Linked DNA regions of Rattus norvegicus. The protein of the gene in region 1 purifies or fractionates together with the protein of each later gene. This does not show direct contact. Links are inferred from orthologs where the notes say so. Each region holds a gene or a part of one and is shown in the gene's direction. Other genes may lie near its edges. The genes, in order: Cdc25b and Fbxw11.

The links.
Region 2: the proteins of Cdc25b (region 1) and Fbxw11 purify together in Homo sapiens (affinity purification with mass spectrometry; 14 studies listed by BioGRID and IntAct, counting the BioPlex papers as one, with this or other methods). This does not show direct contact. The link is inferred for Rattus norvegicus from reciprocal best matches to the Homo sapiens genes CDC25B and FBXW11.

The regions. Positions count from the first base shown.
Region 1 is NC_086021.1:138,866,670-138,870,478, forward strand, and holds the end of Cdc25b (M-phase inducer phosphatase 2), read left to right. Parts: intron 1-58; coding exon 59-151; intron 152-582; coding exon 583-645; intron 646-806; coding exon 807-905; intron 906-1,091; coding exon 1,092-1,225; intron 1,226-2,017; coding exon 2,018-2,129; intron 2,130-2,283; coding exon 2,284-2,424; 3' UTR 2,425-3,618; downstream 3,619-3,809. UniProt on the Homo sapiens protein: Tyrosine protein phosphatase which functions as a dosage-dependent inducer of mitotic progression. Directly dephosphorylates CDK1 and stimulates its kinase activity.
Region 2 is NC_086028.1:17,735,847-17,740,147, forward strand, and holds the start of Fbxw11 (F-box/WD repeat-containing protein 11), read left to right. Parts: upstream 1-1,350; 5' UTR 1,351-1,494; coding exon 1,495-1,539; intron 1,540-4,301.

The DNA.
Region 1 (3,809 bases):
ACAGCACTGAGAGGCAGTCTCTTCCCTCACCCTGGCCTCCGTCTGCCTTACTTTCCAGAAGGCCCGGGTCTTCCGCTCAAAGTCCCTGTGTCACGAGATTGAGAGCATCCTGGACAGTGACCACCGTGGCCTGATTGGAGATTACTCTAAGGTAGCATTCTAGGGCTTCAGGAGGCTTCTTTCACCCGCTCTGGAGCCCTAATGCAGGACCCATCTGTCCCCAGAGGTCCCCCCTTCCCTCTGTGTCTTTTCATTCTTGTTCTCATGCAGACTCTTCCCTCTGGGTCCCCTTCCGATGCCACCTCAAATCTGTCCAGGCATCTCATCCTCGAAAAACATTTCCAAATCAATCTCTGGTATGCAATCTCCTGCCTCAGCCTTCGGCTTTCAAACCCAAGAGCAGGAAGCAAGAAGGTCTAGGGCTTTTCCTTCCTCTTTTACCCTCAGAAGGTTGTTCCCTGGGTGCAGGCCCCCAGAGGTTTCACTCAGCTGAATCTGAAGGCTGAGGCCGGTGTTGCCTCTGTCCTTCCAGTCTCTGTGTCTCAATGTGTTTCCCTGACTCTGCCTCATCCCTCCCTTCAGGCCTTCCTCCTGCAGACTGTGGATGGCAAACACCAAGACCTCAAGTACATCTCACCAGAAACTGTAAGCAGGGTTGAGCCACTCTCCAGGTGCATTGGGGACCACCTTCTCTTGGCTCTTGTCTTCCTCTGGGGATGGGCTGCATGTATAGACTATCGGAAGAGAGAGGGAAAACCTTGACTACAGTCTCACCTGCTGGCACCAACCCTGATGGCCTCCTACAGATGGTGGCCCTGTTGACAGGCAAGTTCAGCAACATCGTGGAGAAGTTTGTAATTGTGGACTGCAGATACCCCTATGAGTATGAAGGCGGGCATATCAAGGTGAGACGGGTGCTGGTAAGGCCAGGCCCTCCATTCAGATTCCTTGCCGAGAAGATGAATAGCCTTCCATGGTGAATTTCCTATGGGGAGGATTTCTGCTCAGCAAGAGGTGGGGTTACTTACCTGGGAACTGAACAAGAAGGGCCATGGTGCAGGCTTCAGCTTGACCCCCAGATCCTCTGACAGAATGCTGTGAACTTGCCCCTGGAACCGGATGCCGAGACCTTTCTGCTGAAGCATCCCATCACGCCTTGTAACCTGGACAAGAGAATCATCCTCATTTTCCACTGTGAATTCTCATCTGAGCGTGGACCACGGATGTGAGTCCTAGCTCTGTCCCATCCTTGTGGTCAGTGGCCAGCCGGGGCCCACCCTCGGCTTTCTTTGCCTGGTACTGAGTGCCAGAGCATCTTGCTGCATGTGATAGTTTAGAGCTGACCTCAGCTCTCCTGTTGTAGACGACGTATCTTACCATTGTCTTCCTTCCACCCACATCATCAGACCGTCTTCGGTCCGTTGCTGCATACCCACAAAACGTAGTGCCAAGTACAGTAGCATCCTTAAAATCTGAGGATACTGTGACACTCAAGCACTTGGAACCCTGCTACTGTGCTGACGACCACTGGGGTCCATTGCTTTCCTTCAGCCGTCTTTCCTCTGTCCCGGTGTTCATGGTTATTCTTCTGCCTCCTGGTCCAGGGTGGCCACCAGCTCCACCTGGCAGCTGTTAGCATCTGTCTCAGCGGACCAGAATCTCCTTCCCATTCCCTATACACGAACTTCACCCCTCTAGCACAGGGTTCCAGTTTTCTCATATGATTCTTGCTGGGCAATGGACCAGTCACGGAGCTTCACTTTTTTGATCTTTCCGATCCTCCCTTCCCATCTTCCCTTGAGTCCTTACCACCTCTGATCCAGGAGACCCTGGAGTATATGTGGTTTTTCTATGTTGCTGTACCCAGTGTCTGCTACCTAGTAACCAGTCTTGCCTAGCAGGTGACATGCCTGTGCTGAGAAGTCTGTGCACGTGGGGGCTCTTAATGCAGTGTGTACAGGGCATGGTCTCTTTCCGGCATGCGACCTGCCCTGAACCACCTCCCATGATACTCCAGGTGCCGCTTCATCAGGGAACGGGACCGTGCAGCTAACGACTATCCCAGCCTGTACTACCCTGAGATGTACATCCTCAAAGGCGGCTACAAGGAGTTCTTCCCGCAGCATCCGGTACCATGGGTGGGATGGTCACAGCTCTCCCATCGTGGACTGTAGGAACAGGACCCAACTAGGCTATAGGCCCTACCCATACCCCCACCCCCAGCCCCCAGAACTTACTCTTTCTCCCATACTGATGGACTCTTCTCATCTTCTCATCCCCTAGAACTTTTGTGAGCCCCAGGACTACCGACCCATGAACCATGCAGCTTTCCGGGATGAGCTGAGGAACTTCCGCCTCAAGACACGCAGCTGGGCTGGGGAACGGAGCAGGAGGGAACTCTGTAGCAGGCTGCAAGACCAGTGACGAGCCAGCCTCAGTCCTGCCACCATCCTTACCTCAGGAGGCTTGCGAGCCAGTGGGTCCCATGGGCCTATGCGGCCACCTACTTGCTAGAGGCCTCAGGTGCTATAGGGGGTTGGGGGGATGGTGTGGTGTCACATCTGTCTGTCCCTGTCCTCAATTTTCCTGTCTCACTCCACTAATTTTCTGTATCTTGGTACTGATCCCATCTTAAAGAGCTGAACCAATGGGTGAATACCAGCTAAGAGGAAGTCCTTTGTGTTCAATGAGAGCCCTTTTACAATCTCCTTTTTCCTTGTTTGTGTTGACTCCTTGTCTTACCCCTTCGCAGGGAGAGCCTCAGCCCTTTAAGATGAGCACAGTAGCTTCTTGGGTAGCCTGGATGCAGGACGCTACACTGCTGCACAGGGCTGTGTCTGCTCTCCTCTCCTGGCCTCTGCACAGATTCCTCCATTGGAAGCATAAGTGCTTACTTTTCCTGTTGTCGTCTTACCCATAGCTTTCATTTTCGTCTGTCTCACTTAGCGTGTCCCAGGACACACTGACAGCTGGGGAGGCTCCCTTGTACAGCTGGGGACTAGAGATTCAAATATCATGTACTCATTAGGCTTGGCTTTTGTTAGCCCACAAAGGGATCTTTTCCTTTAAGACCCCCAGAGCTAGAGCAAAGGCCTGATTCAGGAGCCTCTGGGAGCCCCATCCTCACTGCTGTGAACCCTAGAGCCTCGCTGGTCAGCACTTGTTGCTGGGCAATGAACCAGTCACTGAGCTTCACTTTTTGGTCCTTCTCTGTCCCTCCCTGTCCCTCTCTGTCCTTCTTTCCATATCTGGTCCTGAGTATGCATGGTTTTTCCGTGTTGCTGTACTAGTGACAGAGTCTAGGCCCTTTGTTGGATGGTCATGGATGCACAGTGCCTTGTACACATGTATGCACACAAATCGAGTGAAGTATTTTGGTAAGCATGATGGCCTATGGCAGGAGTGTGTGTGTGTGTGTGTGTGTGTGTGTGTGTGTGTGTGTGTGTGTACAAAGTCTTTACACTTAGCATTTGGAAATATTAAAGAAATATTGTCATAGGGGAGGGAGGAAGAAGCAACTTTTGGGTTCAGAATCTACATATGAAAAGGTCATGCTGGAAGGCCCCCAATGCATCCTCTGTTGGGGCCTTGGTTCAATAAAGCACTGAGCAAGTTGAATAATCTGTTCGTTTATGCGGAGCTGCTGACCAGGCCATAGCAGACTGGATGGTAGGATGGGGGTGAAGACAGACCAGTGGAGGTAGAAAGACTCTCTGGAGGAGAGGGACCTTATACCTCATGCTCTCTTCTCAAGTTTTCCCTGCTCTCTGGTTTTTTTGAAATAGAGGAAAGGGTCCTCTTCCTATGTA
Region 2 (4,301 bases), on another chromosome or scaffold:
AAAGCTTCTCAAGTCACTGCTACTGTGAAGTGGGTTGGGTACAATGAGCCAGGCCCTCGAGATACACGATAATAGCCAGAGCTTGGTTTCTACAGCCAGATCTCCAGTAAAACATAAACAACTTCACAGACCATTAACATTAGACAAGGCCACAGAACGGCCTTATCTTATGGATCAAGACAAAAACAAGACCACTCCATAATTACTCGTGAACACAGATAAAACATGAACATTGTCTAAGCCCCTGACACACGGCTACAAGAGGCTGTCATCAATTACTGGATTAGTTTCAATCTAATATAACTTCCCATAGATAAGGTGTCCAACCTTATTACCCCCACTTCCTGGCAGTATGCGCTCCAGAGCCCCTTCAAATCCTTTTCTACATTACCTAATGTCTCTTACTGAGACGTCCATGATTCATCGTGGTGCATGTTCTCTTCTAGTTCAGCTAAAATAAACCCACCTTGTTTAACTACAGCGTATTCCTGGGGGTTTTTGGTTTGAGGGTACTGACAACTTGGAGGGCACACAGAGTTAAGAGGAAGAGTTCACTGGAAGTCTCTAGATGTGTTTCTTCACAGCATTTCTAACTCTTGGTGAATGTCTGCTGTCTTCCCATTAGAATTAAGCTTCACGAGAACAGAGGTCTCGCCTGTCATTTCCAGAGCTTAGGGCAGTACTAGTAGCAACGGAATGCTTAAAAATGTCTTCAAAATGATCAGCTTCTTTCTCATGGCTCAGCTACTTCCAGTGTAGCAGCTCTCCATACATCTGTTTCCCAACTCAAGCCTCCAAACTTTTCCTCTTGAGATGTCCATCTTCCCTTGGTTGGATCTTCGGGCTCACAGACCCCTCCCACACCTCCTGGTGCAACCTCGGACCCACCTGTCTCCACCATCTGTCCCTACCAAGTGTAATACACCGGGCGGCCGCGCAAGCACCTAGACGACCAGTGGGCACTGCAGACAACTACTGCGCATGTGCGGAAATCGGTCGCACCGCAAAGATCTCAGACAAGTGAGGAGTTGCCTCGGAGTTTCCGTCCGGGTCCGGGCAGCCACCCGCTGCCAGGAAGTCTGGAACGACCAACCGGAAGGAGACCGCGCGCGCGAGGATTTCTGGGACAAGTAGTCGCGGCGCTCGCGAGGCCCTATCCCGAGCAAGTCCTAGATACTCCAGATCTGCATGTCCCCGCACTCCCAGCCCTGCCCTCCCCTAGGTGCTCTCTCCCGTGGCGGAACCCTGGCAGAGTGGCCCGACGGCTTCTTGTTCCCATAAGGCTTAGCGATCCGCCGCGGTTGTTGGGAGTTGTAGTCTTCGCCGTGCGTCCTGCGTCCGCCGAGGGGGAGGGCGGAGCTGCCGGCGGCCCGGGCGGGCTGGCAGCTAGAGTGGGTGCCAGAGCTGCCTCCGCCGCCGCCGCTGCCACCGCCTCCTCCGCCCGGGCCGTTCGCTGCTGAGCGGAGAGAGCGAGGCGGGGCCGCCGGGGCCGCCATGGAGCCCGACTCGGTGATTGAAGACAAGACCATCGAGCTCATGGTGAGTGCGGCCCGCTGGCCTTCAGTTCTTCCGGCCGGCCGGCGGCCCGGGGGCCTGCCCACCTCGGCGTCCGCGCCAGGCCAGCCCTCGTTCCCCGTCGCCTGGGCCCGGCCGGCCCCCTGCTACGGCTCGCTGCTGACGCCTCGCGCTCTTGGGCCGGCCCGGCCTCCGCTCCCCGCGAACTCCCCCACCCCCTCCCCGCTCCTTGCCGGGCTCCGACCAGTCTCGGGCGCCCCTGCCTCGCTCCTGCCGGAGCCACCGCTCACTCTCGCCTTGCCATCACACTGTCTTTTTAGAAGGGGATTTCTTTTTCCCTTCCCTGGATTCCTCTGCCAGGCCTGCATCGCGCTTCCCAGCCCCGCTCAAGCCGAGGGTGATGGTGGTGGGAGGTTGTCCGAGACCAGTTGGAGCCGCTTCGGCCTCCGTAACCTAGGCTTAGGGGGTGGGGTGGCGGTGGGTCTCAGCACCCTCACCCCAAGCTACCGCTGTGTGGATGCCAGGATAGGCCCTTCAGGACTGGGATGTTGGGCATGCCCACGAGTCTGAGGCTGTAGGGGATAAGGGGCCTCTTTTCCGAGCCCCTGCGGTGTCAGGCTTCTTGGACAAAGGGTTTCCTACCCTGCCGTGAAGGATGTTTGTATAGCAGGGCCCTAGGTACTCAGAATTCCATCCCCCAGAAAAGGAAAACCATAACTTTATCATTTGGGAAATGAGAGGGGAGGGAGAAGAGGTCGCCTTCATCACTGCCACCCTCTTTTCTTTTAATAATAAAAAGCGGGACGGTGTGTGTGTGGGGGTGTTCTTGACCCACCGAGAAGCAGCGATCCCTTTACTGTTAGAAACCCTTGGTAGCCAGGTTGGTCAGGTCTTCCCGGACACCCCTAACCCATTTCTGACCTCAGACTTGGTGCTAGAAAGGTTTTTGGAAACAGGGCTGTGAGTGAATGGCTGGGAAAGTGAAGGATTTGCTTATTGGTGGAAGAAATAAAGTATGGCTGGTAGTACCTGCCAGTTTGAACGTGAGGGAAATCAAACTGGGCCCAGGAGAGTTGGGGACATAAGAAAGGCTTCTTCCTGTGAAAACCTTGACAGTTTCTTTGTATCTCTACTAATATCGTAACAACTAGTATCTGCCGCACAGTACTGAGGAAAGGTGAACGATCTACTGAACTTAGCAATGTGTTTTCCTCGTCAGAGTTTCTCCAGTGTGAAATGCTTATTGAGTCAGTGATTCCACTGGGTAGGGTTGGTGACATCAGAGCCACTTCCCCCATTTAGTGCTATAAATAATAAATGGTGATACTGAAAGTCTGTTGGATAGCCCATGGTTTTTGTGGATGATGTTGTCCAGGGAGCTAAGGTACACGTTTAAAATGGAAGTAATAGTAGCATAACTACAGAGTCTCATGTCTGCTGGACTCAGCACAATGTGCAGAACTGGATGGTTGAAAAATCAAACCTGGAAGTTTCTGGGGTGTGTGTGTGTGTGTGTGTGTGTGTGTGTGTGTGTGTGTGTTCACAGGGATTCTGTCACTTTATCTTCAGGTTCTGAGGACCTTTTTTCTTTTTCAGCATCCAATTGTCGGTTGTAACAGTTTGGGAAACTTTAGTAGTCCGTTATTTTGACAAAATGTCTTTAAAACGTGCCTTATGTATTAATGTGAATTCACACGTGCACCACAGTGGGCCTGTGGAGGTCAGAGGACCATGTTGTAAAGATTCTCTTCTGCTTTTACCTGGGTTCTGGGACTTGAACTCATTTCGTTCTGCATGTATGATCACGTGTCTTTGGTTGAGCCATCCTGATGACCTCTTTTTTGGCAAAGTGTCAAAGTATCTTCATGTATGAAGATACATGTTCCATCTTCTTAAAGACAAAACAGTATATCTGCTTTCATAATGACCAGTGCTTCATATGAAACATATTCACTTAAAACAACCAAAATGTCTTCTTTTTCAGGAGAGTTAGAAGAAATACAGTGTAATTAACCTCAGGCATGGTCTTTTAGCATATGACTAAAGAAATATTCTGGCCCACACTTACTGGTTTTCTAAGCTTATAACTGTTTTGTTTTGAGTAACTGTTAAGGTGCTGGGGTGCACCTTAGTGGTAGAGCACATGCTTCCTTAGTGTCCATAAAATCCTCATGGCTGGGTTAGACTGTGTGATATTGTTTGCCCTTACATTGAAGAGATGTCACCTAATGAAGACATAAAAGGGATTTAATGTAGGATTCTTAGAAATGTAATAAAAAAATGTGCCAGGCATGGTGGCACATGCTTTTAATCCCAGTTCTCAGGAAGCAGAGACAGGTGAATCTCTGTGAGTTAGTCAGCCTGGTCTACAAAGTGAGTTCCAGGACAACCAGAACTACACAGAGAAACCCTGTCTCTCAAAACCTAAACAAATAAATGAAATCCCCCAAACCAACCAAAACAAAGACCAAACAAACAAAAAAACCACAACCAACCAAAAGTCAGTCTCAAACCCCCTAAAGATTGTAGTGCCGAGGCCTGCATTGCTGGATCTGATTTACTGTCTATGCGTATGGCTCGTTGCTTGAGTCATTTATAAGGTGTGCAGCTACAGTTTTTCCAAATCGTTGGTACCTGTTTCTCACTATGATCAGTTTCAATTATAGTCAACATACCCTACTGTGTTATATTTTAAAATACTACTTTGAGAATGACTTCGTGTTGGTTGTGGAATACCAGTACACTACACCTGTTTATTATAGTATACACTTTGCTTCTGTCCCTAG